4 linked regions of the Saccharomyces cerevisiae S288C genome follow. The protein of the gene in region 1 purifies or fractionates together with the protein of each later gene. This does not show direct contact. Each region holds a gene or a part of one and is shown in the gene's direction. Other genes may lie near its edges.

The links.
Region 2: the proteins of SPT20 (region 1) and SGF11 purify together in Saccharomyces cerevisiae (affinity purification with mass spectrometry; 9 studies listed by BioGRID). This does not show direct contact.
Region 3: the proteins of SPT20 (region 1) and SGF29 purify together in Saccharomyces cerevisiae (affinity purification with mass spectrometry; 8 studies listed by BioGRID, with this or other methods). This does not show direct contact.
Region 4: the proteins of SPT20 (region 1) and TAF10 purify together in Saccharomyces cerevisiae (affinity purification with mass spectrometry; 11 studies listed by BioGRID, with this or other methods). This does not show direct contact.

What each region holds. Positions count from the first base shown.
Region 1 is NC_001147.6:45,260-49,557, reverse strand, and holds SPT20 (Spt20p), read left to right. Parts: upstream 1-1,983; coding exon 1,984-3,798; downstream 3,799-4,298. Other genes in the region: CTR9 (Ctr9p), read left to right, coding at 1-3; DNA replication protein PSF3, read right to left, coding at 110-694; PEX11 (Pex11p), read left to right, coding at 915-1,625; DCP1 (Dcp1p), read right to left, coding at 3,925-4,298. UniProt on the Saccharomyces cerevisiae protein: Component of the transcription coactivator SAGA complex. SAGA acts as a general cofactor required for essentially all RNA polymerase II transcription. At the promoters, SAGA is required for transcription pre-initiation complex (PIC) recruitment.
Region 2 is NC_001148.4:461,644-466,761, forward strand, and holds SGF11 (SAGA histone acetyltransferase complex subunit SGF11), read left to right. Parts: upstream 1-4,318; coding exon 4,319-4,618; downstream 4,619-5,118. Other genes in the region: mannosyltransferase complex subunit MNN9, read right to left, coding at 1-323; DIG1 (Dig1p), read right to left, coding at 838-2,196; CAM1 (translation elongation factor EF1B gamma), read left to right, coding at 2,758-4,005; ELC1 (elongin C), read right to left, coding at 5,001-5,118. UniProt on the Saccharomyces cerevisiae protein: Component of the transcription coactivator SAGA complex. SAGA acts as a general cofactor required for essentially all RNA polymerase II transcription. At the promoters, SAGA is required for transcription pre-initiation complex (PIC) recruitment.
Region 3 is NC_001135.5:100,421-106,183, reverse strand, and holds SGF29 (Sgf29p), read left to right. Parts: upstream 1-1,833; coding exon 1,834-2,613; downstream 2,614-5,763. Other genes in the region: ubiquitin-binding ESCRT-I subunit protein STP22, read left to right, coding at 1-488; ILV6 (acetolactate synthase regulatory subunit), read left to right, coding at 636-1,565; GBP2 (single-stranded telomeric DNA-binding/mRNA-binding protein), read left to right, coding at 2,826-4,109; YCL012C (uncharacterized protein), read left to right, coding at 4,396-4,483, 4,551-4,867; BUD3 (Bud3p), read right to left, coding at 4,993-5,763. UniProt on the Saccharomyces cerevisiae protein: Chromatin reader component of the transcription coactivator SAGA complex. SAGA acts as a general cofactor required for essentially all RNA polymerase II transcription.
Region 4 is NC_001136.10:787,908-793,219, forward strand, and holds TAF10 (Taf10p), read left to right. Parts: upstream 1-1,541; coding exon 1,542-2,162; downstream 2,163-5,312. Other genes in the region: exocyst subunit SEC5, read right to left, coding at 1-1,314; Hsp90 co-chaperone CDC37, read left to right, coding at 2,421-3,941; STB3 (Stb3p), read right to left, coding at 4,441-5,312.

The sequences.
Region 1 (4,298 bases):
TAAGAAGAGGCGAGGGTTAGAATCAAGACTTTTAAAGAAACTTAATATTATACTGTTGCCTTTTTTTTATAGTTATTTTATATAGTGTATTTCTAAAGAAAAAGATGTGTTATTTTTTAAACATCCACCTTTTCGTGTCCTTATAAGATTCATGAGACTTTTTATATATCTCCTTCTCCATTTCTTCTAGTTTCAGTAAAAATGTGCTAGTTGCTATATTAGTGTTCGCTGAATTTTTTCCGGTCGAGTCTGCATTGAGATCAATCGATAAACTACTAGCATGATGATTAAGTTCTTGGGCACGTTGCAAAAGTAGCTCACTAACGACATTGGCCAGTTCTTTTTCGCTAAACAACATTATCCATTTTATGGCTAGACTGAAGAAATGCGAATTTATGGAATGCAAGTCCAGAGCCACCGGATCGGTCTTTATAGCGTTCATAACTTTCGTAGAAAACATATCTGGTGGCAGGAGTTCCACAAAAGGTACAGGTTCTTCATCTACCAAGGCTTCGTCACCACCCACAATTGCAAGGATTCTTGCTAACCATAGTGGCAGGCTTAGTTTAGTGTTTTTCGTTATGGGTCGTCCTGGGTTGTTTTCCAAATAACCAAGACCAGGAATATCATATTGAAATTTACAAGGAAACTCTGTCCCATCTGCTAGGACATCATCAATGTCATAGTAACCCATCCTTTCTATGCTTGCCCTTCTATTGTAAAAATATAATACCAAGAACAAAGTTGGCATCAATTCCATTGCGATTTTCACTACGCGTCGGCATTTATCTCGGAGAACCCGAAGCGATGGGTATATCATTTATAGATATAAAAGGGAAGTGACTCCAACAACTGAAAAACCGTTGTCTCCATCTACTACTTCAAAGACTTCATCAAGTAATAGTATAATCAATATGGTCTGTGATACACTGGTATATCATCCCTCCGTGACGAGATTCGTCAAATTTCTAGATGGCTCAGCTGGCAGAGAAAAGGTTCTCAGATTACTGCAGTATTTAGCAAGATTTTTAGCAGTACAGAACTCATCTCTCTTGGCCAGGCAATTACAAGCTCAATTTACCACAGTCAGAAAATTTCTGAGGTTTCTGAAGCCTTTAAACCACTTGCAGGCAGCTGCTAAATTCTACGATAACAAGTTGGCCAGCGACAACGTCGTTAGAGTCTGCAATGTTTTGAAAAACATCTTCTTTGCTGCATATTTGTCGTTAGATCAAGTCAATCTTTTGAGAATTTTGAAAGTGATTCCTGTAACCGTTCTTACCGGTAAGAAAATACCTCGCTGGTCCAATTGGTGTTGGCTGTTCGGCCTCCTAAGTGGTCTGGCTATGGATCTTCGTAAGATCCAAACATCTCATGCCCAGATTGCTGCGTTTGTCAAGGCAAAATCACAAAGCCAAGGCGATGAGCATGAGGATCACAAGAAGGTACTAGGGAAGGCATACCAAGACAGGTACACCGCGTTAAGAAGACTATTCTGGGATGCTGCAGATTCGTTCATCGTCCTCAACAACCTAGGGTACTTGTCTAGCAACGAAGAGTATGTTGCGCTATCCGGTGTTGTCACATCTATCCTTGGTATGCAAGACATGTGGAAAGCTACATAGCTTTCTTTTCATCTTTTTTTTTTATTTGGCTATTCTCCGCTTATGTTTGATTCGACCCTTCTTTATAATTTATTTCTTATGTATATGACCCAATGTTCCATGTCCATACCTGTATAAGATTCTGAGTGACAATAGTTCTTGTTATCCGCACCATTAATAACTAACTAACTATCTTTAAAGTAAAACTGGGATCGCTATAACTGCTTAGTTCTGTTACCCGCTCGTGATACCTGACGACCATTAATCATGAAGAAGTGTTAAGATGATCGACCAGCAGAGATAAAAGAATGAGAAAAGTAGCCTTCAAGAGGATTAGGAAGGAATAGTTACGGTTAATTTGCGCCTATATATTTCAGGGATGAGTGCCAATAGCCCGACAGGAAACGATCCCCATGTATTTGGTATTCCTGTGAACGCAACACCATCCAATATGGGTTCGCCAGGCAGTCCAGTTAATGTACCACCTCCTATGAACCCAGCGGTAGCAAATGTAAATCATCCTGTTATGAGGACAAACAGTAATAGTAATGCCAATGAAGGTACTAGGACTTTAACCAGGGAGCAAATACAGCAATTGCAGCAAAGACAACGATTATTACTACAGCAAAGACTACTCGAACAACAGAGAAAACAGCAAGCACTCCAAAACTATGAGGCTCAGTTTTATCAAATGCTTATGACCTTAAACAAAAGACCTAAAAGACTTTACAATTTTGTGGAAGATGCAGACTCAATTTTGAAAAAATATGAGCAATATTTACACAGTTTTGAATTTCATATTTATGAGAATAATTATAAGATTTGCGCTCCTGCAAATAGCAGGTTACAACAGCAGCAAAAGCAACCCGAGCTGACTAGTGACGGTTTAATATTAACCAAAAATAACGAAACTTTGAAAGAATTTTTAGAGTACGTCGCAAGAGGAAGGATTCCTGATGCTATTATGGAAGTCTTAAGGGACTGTAATATCCAATTTTACGAAGGAAATCTTATTTTACAGGTTTATGACCATACTAATACAGTTGATGTCACCCCCAAAGAGAACAAGCCTAATTTGAACAGCTCTTCTTCCCCTTCAAATAATAATAGCACACAGGACAATTCCAAGATTCAACAACCATCCGAACCTAATAGTGGTGTGGCAAATACAGGCGCAAACACAGCAAATAAGAAGGCATCCTTCAAACGACCTAGAGTATATCGAACATTGTTGAAGCCTAATGATTTGACGACGTATTATGACATGATGTCTTATGCAGATAATGCCAGGTTTTCTGATAGCATTTATCAACAGTTTGAATCTGAAATTTTAACACTTACCAAGAGGAACTTGTCACTAAGTGTGCCATTAAATCCATATGAGCACCGAGACATGTTGGAGGAAACAGCTTTTTCAGAACCTCATTGGGATAGTGAAAAAAAATCCTTCATTCACGAACATCGTGCTGAGTCTACGAGAGAAGGCACGAAGGGCGTTGTAGGGCATATCGAAGAACGCGATGAATTTCCGCAACATAGTTCAAATTATGAACAGTTGATGTTGATCATGAATGAACGCACAACAACGATAACCAACTCCACGTTTGCTGTTTCGTTAACCAAGAATGCGATGGAGATTGCTAGCTCCAGTTCCAACGGGGTACGTGGAGCTTCGTCCTCAACTTCGAATTCCGCATCAAATACAAGGAATAACAGTTTGGCTAATGGCAATCAAGTAGCTTTGGCAGCGGCAGCGGCTGCGGCTGCAGTGGGATCTACCATGGGTAACGATAATAATCAATTTAGCAGGCTGAAATTTATTGAACAATGGAGAATAAATAAAGAAAAAAGAAAACAGCAGGCTTTAAGTGCAAACATCAATCCAACCCCCTTCAACGCTAGAATATCGATGACAGCACCATTGACTCCACAGCAACAGCTACTTCAAAGACAACAGCAGGCCTTGGAGCAACAACAGAATGGTGGAGCCATGAAAAACGCAAATAAACGGAGTGGTAACAATGCCACCAGTAACAATAATAATAATAATAATAATTTAGATAAACCAAAGGTTAAGCGACCTAGAAAAAATGCAAAAAAAAGCGAGAGCGGTACACCAGCTCCTAAAAAGAAAAGAATGACTAAGAAGAAACAGAGCGCAAGTAGCACGCCCTCTTCTACTACAATGTCATAATCTACTTAAATAGAGTTATCATTCCTTATATATATATATATATATATATATATATATATATATATATTGTATTAAAGTACATCATTATTTAAAAAAAATTCTCACTTGGGCATCTCACCTCTGTGCTCAAGCAAAAGAATCTTTTGGCTCATTTTCCAGAAGATATTTTATTAGTTCGTAGATATTTTGTCTATCACTAACTGTATGAATCCATATACCATAGACCTCATGCTTCAAGTTCTTAATAATGACCAATTCATCTTTCACCTCTACCCCCATGCACTCTAGTGGGTTAAGTGTATCCTCTTCTGCATTAAATACTTTTCTTTTATTTACGACACTATTGGGAACAATGCCCATAGAAAAATTGTCAGGATTAATTCGGTTTAATATGATCAATCCATAATTGTATATGTCCTTTCCACTTAAAGTTTTGCCGCAATTATATGTTAGCGAATCATTACTTTTATAAGAGTTCCCATTTCCACTGCTATTCCTGT
Region 2 (5,118 bases), on another chromosome or scaffold:
GACGTAGAGTGCAATTTGTTCAAATCATAATGTGCAATATGACCTTCTGGGATAATATCTTCCACGTGATCGTTGAACAACCAGCCGCTTTTTTTCTTATAAGAGTACTTTGGCATTTTGTATTTCTTGGTGAAGGGAAAATAAAATGTGTTTTCCTTTTCGTGTGCCCATTTGTGTTGGGAAATGGACTGGCCATTAAGTCCCAACAGAGATTGATCTCTCTGGAAAAAAATTATATATATTAGAAATATGGCCAAAACAGGTAGAAAAATGTTAACCCACGGGTTCTTTCTTAGGCGGTACGATACAAGAGAAAGTGACATTGTTTCCTAACTTTTTATTCTAGCTCTTTTAAATTCTTCTGTTTGAAAAATACTAAAATTGATGCTATTCTCTTCTTACTTTCACAAAGTGCGGAAGGAAAAATAGGTTCAGAAATAACGGGTCCCAAGAGCGGCTAACAGAAAATAATAAAAGCTTTTCTACCAATTGAGAATCCGCTTGGTTGACGACTTTTCCTCCTTTATTATTCTTGATTTGGTGTTCTGTTTTACTTATATCAAAATACTTCAACGCCAAATCCGCTACAACGATGGAAAGGAAAAAAAAAAAAAAAAAAAAAAGACAAACCAATGCTGTCGTGTCTAGTGACGATAAAGGCTGTAACTATTAATAAGGTGAATACTCACCCTCATCTTTTAGTTTATCAAACTTATATAAAAATTGTGTATGTACTGAATTGTCCTTGGTGTGCGAGTGAGAGTGTGTGTGTGAGTGCGTGTGTGAGTAGGTGAGTGTATGCGAGTGTATGTAAGTTTATAAGTGCCTGTGTGGCTACTATTTTCCGGTTCTGTGATGTGATGATGATTTTTTTGTCAGCTCCTTTGATTCATTCCATACTTTATTACATATGCTCATAAACATTTTCTTGTCTACATTGCTAGAGCTCAGGGGGAACTCGAAGGCAAAAATATGCGATGAGAGTCGGATTTCGCCTTGAAGAAGACTAGGTGATTGCTGCTGCGGCTGCGAGGTCCGCTGGAACGTAGTAAAAGTGGGAGTGGGGACCGCTCCGTCCTCGATGGCCAAGTCCGTACCCTCTTCTTCGTCTTTATTGGGTTCTGCCTCATGCCATGAACTCCTGTCCCGGTTTGTGCTTGTGCTTGTACTTGTGCTTGTGCTTGCGCTTCTGGCTTTCGTGTTGGCCGAGAGTAATGCATCCCGTTCAAAGTGGTATTCTTCAGCAGGTATCATATCTGCTGGGCGTAGATCCGCGCGCTGTTGCGTAGGACCGGCATTCGCACTTGATCCTACGCTAGAATTTCTTGAGCCTTCCTCGGATCGTCTGGTTTTCCCAGTGGAAGCGGTGCCACTCAAAGGCGAATCATATGAGTCGTTAACCCTCTTGTTTCTGTAATTGCTAGCACTATACTCATTTTCTTCGTAGGGCCTAGCGTTGCCACCTTGCATAGCATAAGGAATGGAGGTCCGCGGTCCCATTGGATATGGATACGACACGTAGGGTGTCATTATGGGCTTGTTCAGCATGTGAGGTGGAGGGATACCGTACGGATTATAATATGGTGACATTATGTAGCGATTCATGGGCATGTAAGGGTTCATGGCGCTCATGATGCCCGCCGAGGGCATGTGTGGTTTCCCATAACTATTGCTGCTATTATTCACTTGTATAGATTGTCTAGAACTGGCCTTTCCCAAGTATTGGACACGGGGCTGGAACTTGGAATGCTGAGTAACTTGTGCGGGCGCGCTTTTCACGTTTTGATTAGCAACAGGAGGAAAATGTGCAGAGTTAGACGAAGCCAAGTTGCCGTCCTTAATATTACCACCGTGTGTATTAGTGTTGCTATCCGATAAATTCAAAGGCGCCGGGACTCTGCCCCTCTTCAATGATTTCTTCGGATTCTTCAATGGTTGGGCTTTCCTCTTCTTCGCAGTGGCTGTCTCAGAATCCTCATGATCTGCTTCCTTGTCACCAGAGTCATCCTCCTCAGGGACATGCTCTAGCTCCGACTCCTGACCAACGCTGTTTCCGCCTGGCGAATTCTTAATGTTGCTATCGCTGCTGCCCTTAGCATTTGCTACACTGATTTCTGTATCACCAATTGGATCTTGTGTTGATTTAGCAATGGATGTATCCTCGGCAGTCGTTCTCAAACGGGCTGATACGGCCATTCTCACTTTCTATTTTCTTCTTTGAGAAACAATACCAAAATTTGTTACTGATTTGATTCTTTTTAAGTGCGTTTCTTCTGTATAAGCTAAAAAAACGCAAAGCACAAAGCGGAAAAACTAAACCTAATAAACTTCCCCCAGCGAGAAACAGATGTAAAGAACAACCGTATCAAGTGGCGAAGCAGCTGCTTATAAGTAAAGCCCAAGGCCCACCAACGCATACATGCAAGGCCTGTGCAAGCCGACTGCTGCTTGTTTCATCTTCCGCTCGCGGTGACCCACTCGGGGAATTTCTCACGCTTGCTGCTGCAGGTCGTTGGGCGTTGATTCCTGTTTTTTTCTTTCGTTTTTTCAATCCGCGGGAGTGAGACATGATTAGTGTAGTCCTTGTAGAGTTCCTTATTTATTTTTTTATTAGTTTTCTTGTTTTCGTTTATCAGCAGGGTTTGGTTGTGTTGCTTGGCAGCCCGCAAATTGGTCTTCCCTCCTTGTTATTGTATTTTCTGTTATTAGAGCATACAGAACATAGAAACTCAAGATCAGATACAGTTTTTGCACGCCATGTCTCAAGGTACTTTATATGCTAACTTCAGAATTAGAACTTGGGTCCCAAGAGGTCTTGTCAAGGCTTTGAAGCTGGACGTTAAGGTTGTTACGCCAGATGCCGCCGCTGAACAGTTCGCAAGGGACTTTCCCTTGAAGAAGGTTCCGGCTTTCGTGGGTCCAAAGGGTTACAAGCTAACCGAGGCAATGGCGATTAACTATTATTTAGTAAAGCTTTCACAGGACGACAAGATGAAGACTCAACTTTTAGGTGCCGACGATGACTTAAATGCCCAAGCGCAAATCATCAGATGGCAATCTTTGGCCAACAGTGATCTGTGCATCCAGATTGCCAACACCATCGTTCCCTTGAAGGGCGGCGCCCCCTACAACAAGAAGAGCGTTGATTCTGCGATGGACGCTGTTGACAAGATCGTCGACATCTTCGAGAACAGATTGAAAAACTACACCTATTTGGCTACGGAAAACATCTCCTTGGCCGACTTGGTGGCTGCCTCGATTTTCACCAGATACTTTGAAAGCCTGTTCGGTACTGAATGGAGAGCTCAACATCCAGCCATCGTGAGATGGTTCAACACCGTTAGAGCCTCACCCTTCTTGAAGGATGAATACAAGGATTTCAAGTTCGCTGACAAGCCATTGAGTCCCCCTCAAAAGAAGAAGGAAAAGAAGGCCCCAGCCGCCGCTCCCGCCGCTTCGAAGAAGAAGGAGGAAGCCAAGCCAGCTGCTACCGAAACTGAAACTTCTTCCAAGAAACCAAAGCACCCATTAGAATTATTGGGCAAGTCAACTTTCGTTTTGGATGACTGGAAGAGAAAGTACTCCAATGAAGACACCAGACCAGTTGCTTTACCTTGGTTTTGGGAGCACTACAACCCAGAAGAGTATTCCCTGTGGAAAGTCACCTACAAGTACAACGATGAATTGACTTTGACTTTCATGTCCAACAACTTGGTCGGTGGTTTCTTCAACAGATTGTCCGCCTCTACCAAGTACATGTTCGGTTGTCTGGTAGTCTACGGTGAAAACAACAACAACGGTATTGTTGGTGCAGTTATGGTTAGGGGCCAAGATTACGTTCCAGCTTTCGATGTCGCACCAGATTGGGAATCTTACGACTATGCAAAGTTGGATCCAACTAACGACGACGACAAAGAATTCATCAATAACATGTGGGCCTGGGATAAGCCAGTTTCCGTCAATGGCGAACCAAAGGAAATTGTTGACGGTAAGGTCTTAAAATAATCTCTTCGTACTATCCTTCATGTCGCCTTTTATTATAAAGTATGCTAGGTAGTTTTATCTATATCTTATTTATGACGCAATATAGGGTAACAGAGTTTTTCTGCTCTGAAACTTCCGCAGAAAAAAAATCAAGTTTTCCTTTTCGTATCTTGGATTATTGTTATATAATAGATGCATGTATTATATGTATAGCAGTGATTTGCTTATTTTCTTGATTCTGAGGAATCGAAGAAGTAACTTAGCGTTTCTTCCGTTGAGCAGAGCAGTATAATAATCCTTCAAATTCTTTAGGTTACGGGGTTTTCCTGTTGCGATGACCGAAGAAACTATTACTATAGATTCTATTTCAAATGGGATACTGAATAACCTGTTAACCACATTGATCCAGGACATTGTAGCTCGGGAAACCACTCAACAACAATTGCTGAAGACAAGATATCCGGATCTTCGCAGTTATTATTTCGACCCGAACGGATCTCTCGATATTAATGGACTACAGAAGCAACAAGAGTCCTCTCAGTATATTCACTGTGAGAATTGTGGCAGGGATGTGTCCGCAAACAGACTAGCAGCTCATTTACAGAGATGTTTGAGTAGGGGTGCTAGACGTTGACACTAGGTGGTGGTTTATGGGTAATTGAAAAGGCACAGACAGATTTTAGCCCATTTCTTGTGGGCATAGGTTCATAAAAAAAGCAAGATTCTTACATTTTATGCGGCATATCTGCACATAGAAGTTCATGTAGTTATGTGGTAACATCTCAAAGAGAGAAGGCGAAAACTGTTTTAGCTATTAACTACATGTTTTTATAATAGCACCTCCCATATATGATGCCAAATGATACCTTGCATTCCGTTATGTGGAAGGGTTACACATAAGTACGCTATAACAATGCATTCAATTTTCTACATATCAGAGTAATATGCTGCAACATCACACCCATATAATATAATTTTTTGAAAGAGTTCCTAACTCTTTTTTGTTTTTCCTGTACCTATATACTCAAATAGTCCGCCGCAAGTAGCAGCTCTAACGACATTTCTGTCGGTATTTCAAACTCTGGAATCTCATCATCGTCCTCGCTAACGCCGCTGTACTTCAAATTATAATTT
Region 3 (5,763 bases), on another chromosome or scaffold:
TGCTACAAAATCTACAAACCGTAGTCAATGAGTTATACAGAGAGGATGTGGACTATGTAGCGGACAAGATACTGACGAGACAGACCGTCATGCAAGAATCAATTGCCAGATTCCATGAAATAATCGCCATCGACAAGAACCATTTACGAGCCGTTGAGCAGGCTATTGAGCAGACCATGCACTCGCTAAACGCACAGATAGACGTCCTGACCGCAAATAGGGCCAAAGTCCAACAGTTTAGCTCAACTTCGCATGTGGATGACGAGGACGTGAACTCCATAGCAGTGGCCAAAACAGATGGACTCAATCAACTATACAACCTCGTTGCCCAGGACTACGCTCTCACGGACACCATTGAGTGCTTATCTAGGATGCTGCACCGTGGCACCATTCCCCTCGATACTTTTGTCAAGCAAGGTCGTGAATTAGCACGCCAGCAATTCCTTGTGCGATGGCACATCCAACGAATCACCTCACCGTTATCGTGACTCACTTTCTTTCGCATCGCCGAAGTGCCATAAAAAATATTTTTTTAACCTTTACCTAACAAGAACGGGGAATGGTATATATGGAAGTACATAGTTCGTATATACAGAATCTTTAGAACATCTGAGCTCACTAACCCAGTCTTTCTAATGCTGAGATCGTTATTGCAAAGCGGCCACCGCAGGGTGGTTGCTTCTTCATGTGCTACCATGGTGCGTTGCAGTTCCTCGTCGACCTCCGCGTTGGCGTACAAGCAGATGCACAGACACGCAACAAGACCTCCCTTGCCCACACTAGACACTCCTTCCTGGAATGCCAACAGTGCCGTTTCATCCATCATTTACGAAACACCAGCGCCTTCTCGTCAACCAAGAAAACAGCATGTCTTGAACTGTTTGGTGCAAAACGAACCCGGTGTCTTGTCCAGAGTCTCGGGTACGTTAGCTGCCAGAGGCTTTAACATCGATTCGTTGGTCGTGTGCAACACCGAGGTCAAAGACCTAAGTAGAATGACCATTGTTTTGCAAGGGCAAGATGGCGTAGTCGAACAAGCACGCAGACAAATCGAAGACTTGGTCCCCGTCTACGCCGTCCTAGACTATACCAATTCTGAGATCATCAAAAGAGAGCTAGTGATGGCCAGAATCTCTCTATTGGGTACTGAATACTTCGAAGACCTACTATTGCACCACCACACTTCCACCAATGCTGGCGCCGCTGACTCCCAAGAATTGGTCGCCGAAATCAGAGAAAAGCAATTCCACCCTGCCAACTTGCCCGCCAGTGAGGTATTAAGGTTGAAGCACGAGCATTTGAACGATATCACCAACTTGACCAACAACTTTGGAGGTCGTGTCGTCGACATCAGCGAAACAAGCTGTATTGTGGAGTTGTCTGCAAAACCCACACGTATCTCTGCCTTCTTGAAGTTGGTCGAGCCATTCGGTGTCCTAGAGTGTGCAAGAAGCGGTATGATGGCATTGCCAAGAACTCCTTTGAAGACAAGCACCGAGGAAGCTGCCGACGAAGACGAAAAGATCAGCGAAATCGTCGACATTTCCCAACTACCACCTGGTTAGGTTAGTCTCTCGGCCTTGCGATCGCCCTCGGGACTCTCCTCTATACATCTATATAACGTATCTATAACCATGAGCCTATTTACTCATAAGTTGCTATGATTGTACGTTTGTACGAGGTGACGCGTTACTAAACTATTTTTTTCTTTTGGTTTTCTGCTTTCCTCTTCGATTTTGCCAGATACGAAAAAGGTTAAAGACACAATACCTTGGTGGCTTCTCTAAGTGGGGGGAGTTTTTCACAGCAAAACACACGGTCACCTTTCTTATTATGGACGGATATTGGGATGTTGTAGTGTCGTCCTTGCAAGACATATACAATGCCAACGAGGTCATTCCCTTTGATGATGAGCTGCAAACAAAAAAACTAAATTTCCTTAATATGTCAAAGGATCAGCTGCAATTGCATCTCAACACTTTCCAAGAACACATGGAAAACGTCAACAGAGTGCACCGAATCCTTGACAATGTACGTTCCAATTTGTCGTTGATGTTGAATCAGTCACGAGAGGAAAAGAGTGAGGAAAATACTGAAGATGCAGAAGAAGGAGAAGGGACACGCATGGCATTGTCGCAGGGCAAGAAAGCTGTGGGGAAAGTTGGCAGATCGTACTGGACCAGCGAATACAACCCAAATGCACCTATTTTGGTGGGCTCAGAGGTTGCCTATAAGCCCAGAAGGGGCAGTGCCGACGGCGAATGGATACAGTGTGAAGTACTCAAAGTCGTAGCAGATGGTACACGATTTGAAGTGAGAGATCCTGAACCTGATGAATTGGGCAACTCAGGCAAGGTGTATAAATGTAATCGGAAAGAACTACTGTTGATCCCGCCAGGCTTTCCCACTAAGAACTACCCGCCAGGTACTAAGGTTCTGGCAAGATATCCTGAAACGACCACTTTTTATCCTGCAATTGTCATCGGAACCAAGAGGGACGGCACTTGCAGGCTTCGATTTGATGGTGAAGAGGAAGTGGACAAAGAGACGGAAGTGACTCGCCGTCTAGTGCTGCCTTCGCCAACGGCTTTGGCAAACCTAGCAAGGAAATAGCAATGGTGGTTAACATTTACTACATATCATAAGATCTTCTCATGGCATTTTGTCATTATTTTGGTATCGTCGGAAGTGATGTATTCACTTGAAGGTGAAAAAAATTGAAAAAAAATGAAAGCTTGGATGAAATCAATTATATTGAGGATTTCCCATTAGAAATAAGCTATGGGCGAAAAGGAAACAAACATCAGCTGGATTTTTTCGCCAAGATGGAGAGAGAGCTAGGGATGTATGGAAATGATAGGAGTAGATCAAGATCACCTGTACGTCGTCGTTTGAGCGACGACAGAGACAGGTACGATGATTATAACGATAGTAGCAGTAATAATGGTAATGGCAGTCGTCGTCAGAGACGCGACCGAGGCTCCCGTTTCAATGATCGGTACGATCAGAGTTATGGTGGCAGCCGCTACCACGATGATAGGAACTGGCCCCCTCGCCGAGGAGGCCGTGGCAGAGGAGGAAGCAGATCATTCAGAGGGGGACGCGGTGGCGGTAGGGGTCGTACTTTAGGTCCAATTGTTGAAAGAGACTTAGAAAGGCAATTTGACGCGACCAAGAGAAATTTTGAAAATAGTATCTTCGTGAGAAACTTGACTTTTGATTGTACCCCTGAAGACCTTAAGGAATTGTTTGGTACAGTGGGCGAAGTTGTGGAGGCTGACATTATCACATCAAAGGGCCATCACCGTGGTATGGGGACTGTGGAATTTACCAAAAACGAATCTGTCCAAGATGCCATATCGAAGTTTGATGGTGCCCTCTTTATGGACCGGAAACTAATGGTAAGACAGGATAATCCTCCTCCTGAAGCTGCCAAGGAATTTTCTAAGAAAGCTACTAGGGAAGAAATAGATAATGGGTTTGAAGTGTTCATCATCAATTTACCGTACTCTATGAATTGGCAATCCTTAAAAGATATGTTTAAAGAATGTGGTCATGTCTTGCGTGCCGATGTAGAATTGGATTTCAACGGATTTTCAAGAGGATTCGGTTCTGTCATTTATCCTACTGAGGATGAAATGATTAGAGCTATCGATACATTCAACGGCATGGAAGTAGAAGGTAGAGTTTTGGAAGTTAGAGAAGGGCGTTTCAACAAGAGAAAGAACAATGATCGTTATAATCAAAGGCGTGAGGACCTTGAAGATACCAGAGGTACTGAACCAGGTCTTGCGCAGGATGCCGCTGTCCACATTGATGAAACTGCAGCAAAATTTACTGAAGGTGTCAATCCAGGAGGGGATAGAAACTGTTTCATTTATTGTAGTAATTTACCATTCTCAACAGCAAGAAGCGATTTATTCGACTTGTTTGGGCCTATCGGCAAAATCAATAACGCGGAATTGAAACCACAGGAAAATGGTCAACCAACTGGTGTTGCTGTTGTAGAATATGAAAATTTAGTAGATGCAGATTTTTGTATTCAAAAATTAAATAATTATAATTATGGTGGTTGTAGTTTACAGATCTCTTATGCTAGACGTGATTAATTCCTAAGCACCAACCGAACCATGACCTGTGTACTTTATGATAACGTATAAATAATAAGGAAGCGGGCGGGTTATAAATAACTTTAATAGTTATATTTATCATTTTGACCAAAAAGAATAACCTTATTTAATCCCTGTAAAAGAGCACCACTTCCAGCGATGAGATGCGAAAAGCGAAGAAAAAAAAAAAAAAAAAAAGGGTATTCTAAACTGAATATATAAAAACTGCCACCAATTAAGAGAAGAAAAGCTACACAATTAATTTCCAAAAATTGCAAATACGAGTATGAAGAGTTTGTTCTATCTCAAATTGCTCCTCTGGGTTGTGCTATTGTCTTTATGCCTTCTTATGGCACACCGGAAAACCAAAGTTGGTATGTATATTTAAGCATTTGAAAATGCAAAGTGCAAACCGTATCTAAATACTAACAGCTGTAATAGCCGACAAATTTCGTGCACTGCGTTCAAGAATACAATTACGTTTTAATAGACATATACGTTTAAATGATTCCTTTGCTGATGACCTAGAAAACGGTCTCCATTCCAGGAATTTCGATATTATCTCGGAGAATAGCAACGACGTAAGAGGTGGTTTGGATGATGTCTCCAAGAATGAGATTAAACAAATTATGGAAAACGATAATGTAGATTTCGATAAGGCTAGACTATTATATATGGAAAGAAAGTTCGGCCAAAATGGTATTGCCCCCGATGGAACCCCTATTGATCCAAAAGCATTCACCTTTGATAGTAGGTAAAGGTATCTAATATATTCAGTTTTACTTAAGTGGGAGGTTTTTCCCCCTTTTTCTTATTTGTCCATATTTTATGTAAATGTATACATTGCATTAAATTAAAAAGAAAAAAAAAATCAATAAAACACTCAATAAAATTTCAGTTTCTCTGGGCCACCAACAGCGCAGTTCTGTTTCCCATCTTCATCTTCATCGTCACTCAACGCAACAAAATCTTTTAAGTACGCGTACGAAGCATCTTTAGTTAACAGCATATTTGTCATATTACCGATAGATCCCTCTCCAGTATATTTGTATTTTCTACTGTCGTTGTTTTTCAAAGGAACAGTATTACGCTCTGGCGTCAATGCTTTAGTTCTCCTACTTAGATCAGCAAAGTCAATTTTGCTAGGGGAAACCCAAATGGGCTCGTCTTTTTGTTTCTTTCGAAGGAACCCCTCTTTCTCATGCTTTGTGCTACTCTGAGGCAAAACATAGATTAATGGTCCACTAGGAGACTCTTGAACTTTCTGAGCATTTCCTAACACGGTTTTATTCGAACTTAAGTCGGATGATATTTTCATATTGTCAGTACTCATGGAGGTATTTCCAAATGCTATATTAAATGAACTGAATTCTAAATCATCTAACAGTTCGGTAGGTTTTTGATCAATATTACCGCTACTCAACTTATCGTCTGTGCTCTTGTTATTTGAAGTTGTAACGTTAATACTTCGCGGAGTATTTGGAAGTTCTTCCACCGGAAATTCAGCAGTGGGTTCCTCTGCTGGAGTATAGAATCTGTCATCCGGAATTTCATCTTGGGATGGAAATTTTAATTCCATCAGCCTTTTGTCAGGTTCATCATTGTTGTGAGTATCATAAGTGAACGAAATATCAGATGGAGAGCCATTTTCATA
Region 4 (5,312 bases), on another chromosome or scaffold:
AATGGTGTTAACTTTATTGGGTTCAACGGTACTTTTCAAACCTTCACTATCCTTGCCCGTATCACTTATTATTTGGAATAATTGATTGATTTTCAAATAATACGACAGCTCCACGCACCCTTGACTTTTATCTTGATTAGTATTGTTTTGTAATATAAGCCTTTGAGAATGAATGATTTTACTAATCATATGGCCAGACAACTCGTTCAGTTCATTCTGAAAGCCATTCATTTTGATGGACATCCATCTTAGGATTGGATTTTCATTGGATGATGAAGTTGTGTTCTTGTTACCACTTTCACTTTCTCTTTGATTATTATTGATAAAGTTTTCTAAGTTCAACAATTTTGAAAAGAGGGACAAAATTGTTTCTTGGGGTTGGTCAATGTTAAAATTTGAATTTATTAAACTGTTCCAAATCAGATCTTTATACGTGACTAATAAATTTTCTATTTGAGTCCAAATTCTTTTTATAACAAGAGATTGTGAAGCATCTGAACTCTGGTTGAAACGGCGACGGAGCGTAAGACCTTTTGAATATTCGATAATGAACTCATTGAAATCGTTGTTAGTCAAACATCTCTTTAAAGATTTGGGTAGGTTGAAGTAAAACTTATTCAATTCAATAAATTTTTTGGTGGCCTGGTAATTCAAAATTTTCTGATAGTTATCCATTAGCGGTTTCAGTTTGAAAGTTGTTGTTCTAATAACCTCGTCGACCTTTTTATTTAAGCTTTCCACATTTATTTGATTTTCTTTTGGTGAATCACATTGGTTTTTTTCATTCGTTTTCTCGTCAAATTCTTTGTAAATTTGGTCTAACTTGTTTTTAATCTTAACATACTTGGTGAAATTTTTACCAACCAATTGTTTCAAATGTATAGATTGGTCTTGTATATCACTGTCCAACCTGTCCAGTGAGTTATTTAGATCATTGAAAGAGTCTTGTTTGTGCATATCTCTCAGAAAGGCTTTGACGTTGAATTGTTTACTGTTGACAAGATAGTTCAACCGCATTGAATCATTTGGTAGATGTTGCAATTCTTTAGACATTTCTTGTCCATTCAAGGGATCTCTAATATAACTTAACGACTCATCGTTTAAATATGCTCTCGATTCCTTGTCAATGCTAATTTGATTGCCATATTTGAAGTCTTTTAATATGTCGAATGACGTTTCAACGCCAAGTTCATTGCTTGTAGCCTCTTCATTATTCAATTTTGAGGAATCTTGGGCCCAGGAATGGGTCGGATTAATAGTCTTCAACTGATAAAAACGAAGTAGTTGCTCGTCGCCAATTTGAAACCTATCCATGGTACCAAACTTTTTTTCGCTACTTTATTTCAACAGAAACTTCTTTCCTAGTTTAGCAGCTTTAACGCAGCTTATTTTTGTTACTTTAGTTGAATAGTAGGAGTTGATACTTTTGTTTTTTCAAGTTGAAAACAGAAACGAAAAATTAAAGAAGCTGCAGATTCAGCATTCATGCCTAAGCTAAAAAGAACTGGCAGCGAAGAACAGAGGAAAGAATAACTGAAACTATGGATTTTGAGGAAGATTACGATGCGGAGTTTGATGATAATCAAGAAGGACAATTAGAAACACCTTTTCCATCGGTTGCGGGAGCCGATGATGGGGACAATGATAATGATGACTCTGTCGCAGAAAACATGAAGAAGAAGCAAAAGAGAGAGGCTGTAGTGGATGATGGGAGTGAAAATGCATTTGGTATACCCGAATTTACAAGAAAAGATAAGACTCTGGAGGAGATTCTAGAGATGATGGACAGTACTCCTCCTATCATTCCCGATGCAGTAATAGACTACTATTTAACCAAAAACGGGTTTAACGTAGCAGATGTACGAGTGAAACGACTTTTAGCACTTGCTACTCAGAAATTTGTTAGTGATATAGCTAAGGATGCCTACGAATATTCCAGGATCAGGTCTTCCGTAGCGGTATCTAATGCTAACAACAGTCAGGCGAGAGCTAGGCAGCTATTGCAAGGACAGCAACAGCCTGGCGTGCAGCAGATTTCACAACAACAACATCAACAGAATGAGAAGACTACAGCAAGCAAAGTTGTTCTGACGGTGAACGATCTCAGTAGCGCTGTTGCTGAATACGGGCTCAATATAGGTCGCCCAGACTTTTATCGTTAGTGGCTAACAAATGGAAATGAAATATGTATATAGTGTAGCAGTATGCAACTCTTTTAAATACACGATTCGTTATTAGATTGATTAGAGCACTTATTCACGCAAATTTGACACGCTTTTTGAACATCCGTTTTTCACGATTTTTTACTGAAGGATCATGAAAGATTGCCACATAAGAGAACACCTCCGTTGCACCAACACTTCATCACGATAAAAAAACTATCGAGCTATCGTACTACGGAACAACTACATAAGTCAAAAATGGCCATTGATTACTCTAAGTGGGATAAAATTGAACTATCAGATGATTCTGATGTCGAGGTGCATCCTAATGTGGACAAGAAATCGTTCATTAAATGGAAACAACAGAGTATCCATGAACAGCGATTCAAAAGGAACCAAGATATCAAAAATTTGGAGACACAAGTGGATATGTATTCTCATTTGAACAAACGAGTGGACAGAATTTTGAGTAATTTACCTGAAAGTTCTCTTACTGATTTGCCAGCCGTTACCAAATTCTTGAATGCAAATTTTGATAAGATGGAGAAAAGTAAAGGGGAAAATGTTGATCCTGAGATTGCAACATACAATGAAATGGTTGAAGATCTTTTTGAACAATTAGCAAAAGATTTAGACAAAGAGGGCAAAGACTCGAAGAGCCCATCTCTCATAAGGGATGCTATTTTGAAACATAGGGCTAAGATCGATTCAGTAACTGTAGAGGCTAAGAAGAAATTAGATGAATTATACAAGGAGAAAAATGCACACATTTCATCTGAAGACATTCATACAGGCTTTGATAGTAGCTTTATGAACAAGCAAAAGGGGGGGGCTAAGCCACTGGAAGCAACTCCTTCAGAAGCTCTTTCGAGCGCTGCAGAGTCTAATATTCTTAATAAACTAGCAAAATCATCAGTTCCGCAAACTTTCATCGATTTTAAAGATGATCCTATGAAACTGGCCAAGGAAACTGAAGAATTCGGTAAAATATCCATTAATGAGTACTCAAAATCTCAGAAATTCTTACTGGAGCACTTACCTATTATTTCAGAACAACAAAAGGACGCCTTAATGATGAAGGCCTTTGAGTATCAGTTACATGGTGACGATAAGATGACTTTGCAAGTCATTCATCAATCCGAATTGATGGCCTACATTAAGGAAATCTACGACATGAAGAAAATTCCATATTTAAATCCAATGGAACTATCAAATGTCATTAATATGTTTTTCGAGAAGGTTATCTTCAACAAGGACAAGCCAATGGGTAAAGAGTCTTTTTTGAGATCAGTTCAAGAAAAATTTTTGCACATTCAAAAACGTTCCAAAATTTTACAACAAGAGGAAATGGATGAATCGAATGCTGAAGGAGTAGAGACGATTCAATTGAAATCTCTAGATGATTCTACAGAATTAGAAGTAAACTTGCCAGACTTCAATTCTAAAGATCCAGAAGAGATGAAAAAGGTTAAAGTTTTCAAAACTTTAATACCGGAAAAAATGCAAGAAGCCATAATGACCAAAAATTTGGATAATATTAATAAAGTCTTTGAAGATATACCAATTGAAGAGGCTGAGAAACTTTTGGAAGTGTTTAATGACATTGACATTATTGGAATAAAAGCGATCTTAGAAAACGAGAAAGACTTTCAAAGTTTGAAAGATCAATACGAACAGGACCATGAAGACGCCACTATGGAGAATCTGTCCTTAAACGACCGTGATGGTGGCGGAGATAACCATGAAGAGGTCAAACATACTGCCGACACTGTTGACTAGAAATTTATGTAGCTATTTTACTGGTGCAGCGTGCATCTACTTCCTTTTTTATTGTTATTTTCATTTATACATAATACAAAAAAAAAAAAGAAGAAAATTAATGATCAATAAAGAAAATCGTGAAATTACAGCAGAGGTTTTGTACCTGCTTTCCTACGTTAGTACATAATATCTTATTTTTTATTAGTGCATGTTTTTCTCAGTGTGTGTTTTTGTAATTTGTATATACTACACAAAGAATCGGAAGGGTAAAATGTGAAAAATACTGGGTCTTTTGAAATATATTGAACGGGCTAATATATGAAATGAATATGAAAAGAAGAAAAAAATGTGACAAGAAAAAAGTGGTGACAAAAAAGACAAAATAATTATTCAGAGATGATAAACTTAAAGCAAAACTTGGTAACAAACTTTCATTAAAACAAAATATGTATTCTTTTTTCATTTTCATTTTTTTTTTACTGTTTTTTTGTTATTTCATGGAACTGGTAAAGAATTCTTAAGATTTTAAGCTCATTAATAAAAACGCAGCACTATTGTCTTCCCCATTTCTTGGCTGCTGTTCATGTTTCTGTTGGTCGTGTTGTAGGGGAGGCTCAATATCTCCATTCTGAGAGTTAGTAAAACTTGGATTTGTAGGTTTAGGGCTAACTACGCCATTAGTAGAACTTGCTACGCTGTCTATGTTAGGTGCTAAACTGTTATTTCTCAGAGAAGCTGCACCAATTGATTCCCAGTCTTCTTCGTCTGTATCTGAGTGAGGTTGATGATGAGAATGGGGAACAAGTTGTGGCGACGATTCCCCATTCAGGTGTTGTGAAGCTACTCTATGTTTCTCCTTGTCCGATAATACTATCGGATTTGAACTTACATTCATCTGTTCTTCTAGCTTAGGGGAGGTGGAAACCGACGTAGCTTTAGAGTTAGGGTTTGTAGTGACGATCAAATAGTTTTTGTTTGGGAAAAGTGTCGATCTAATACTTGATTCTTTCGATACAGACAGACGAGAAGCTCTTCTTGAAGTTGGCTCACTTGTCGCAGTAAGTTTCTCTAAATCTATCTTCGCCTGGTTTGAGTTACTGTTGTTATTTGATGGGGTTGTCGTTGAGGTTGTATTGGGGGAAAGGTAGGATGAATCTTGGTGTGTGTTTAGTTTGGAAATGAAAGGTGTATGTGGTTTTATGCTCGAACGGCGTCTATTTCTTAATAGCGGTCTAATCTTTTGTGCTATTATTTCATGCTCAATATTCTCGGGAGTTGAATCGGCGAACACAACTTGAGACCTTCTCCTGCCGAAACTATAGGGATCACCATTTGAAGATTTTCCAAAATTATTACTGCTGTTCCTCGATTTGTTTTGGTAATGTAAAT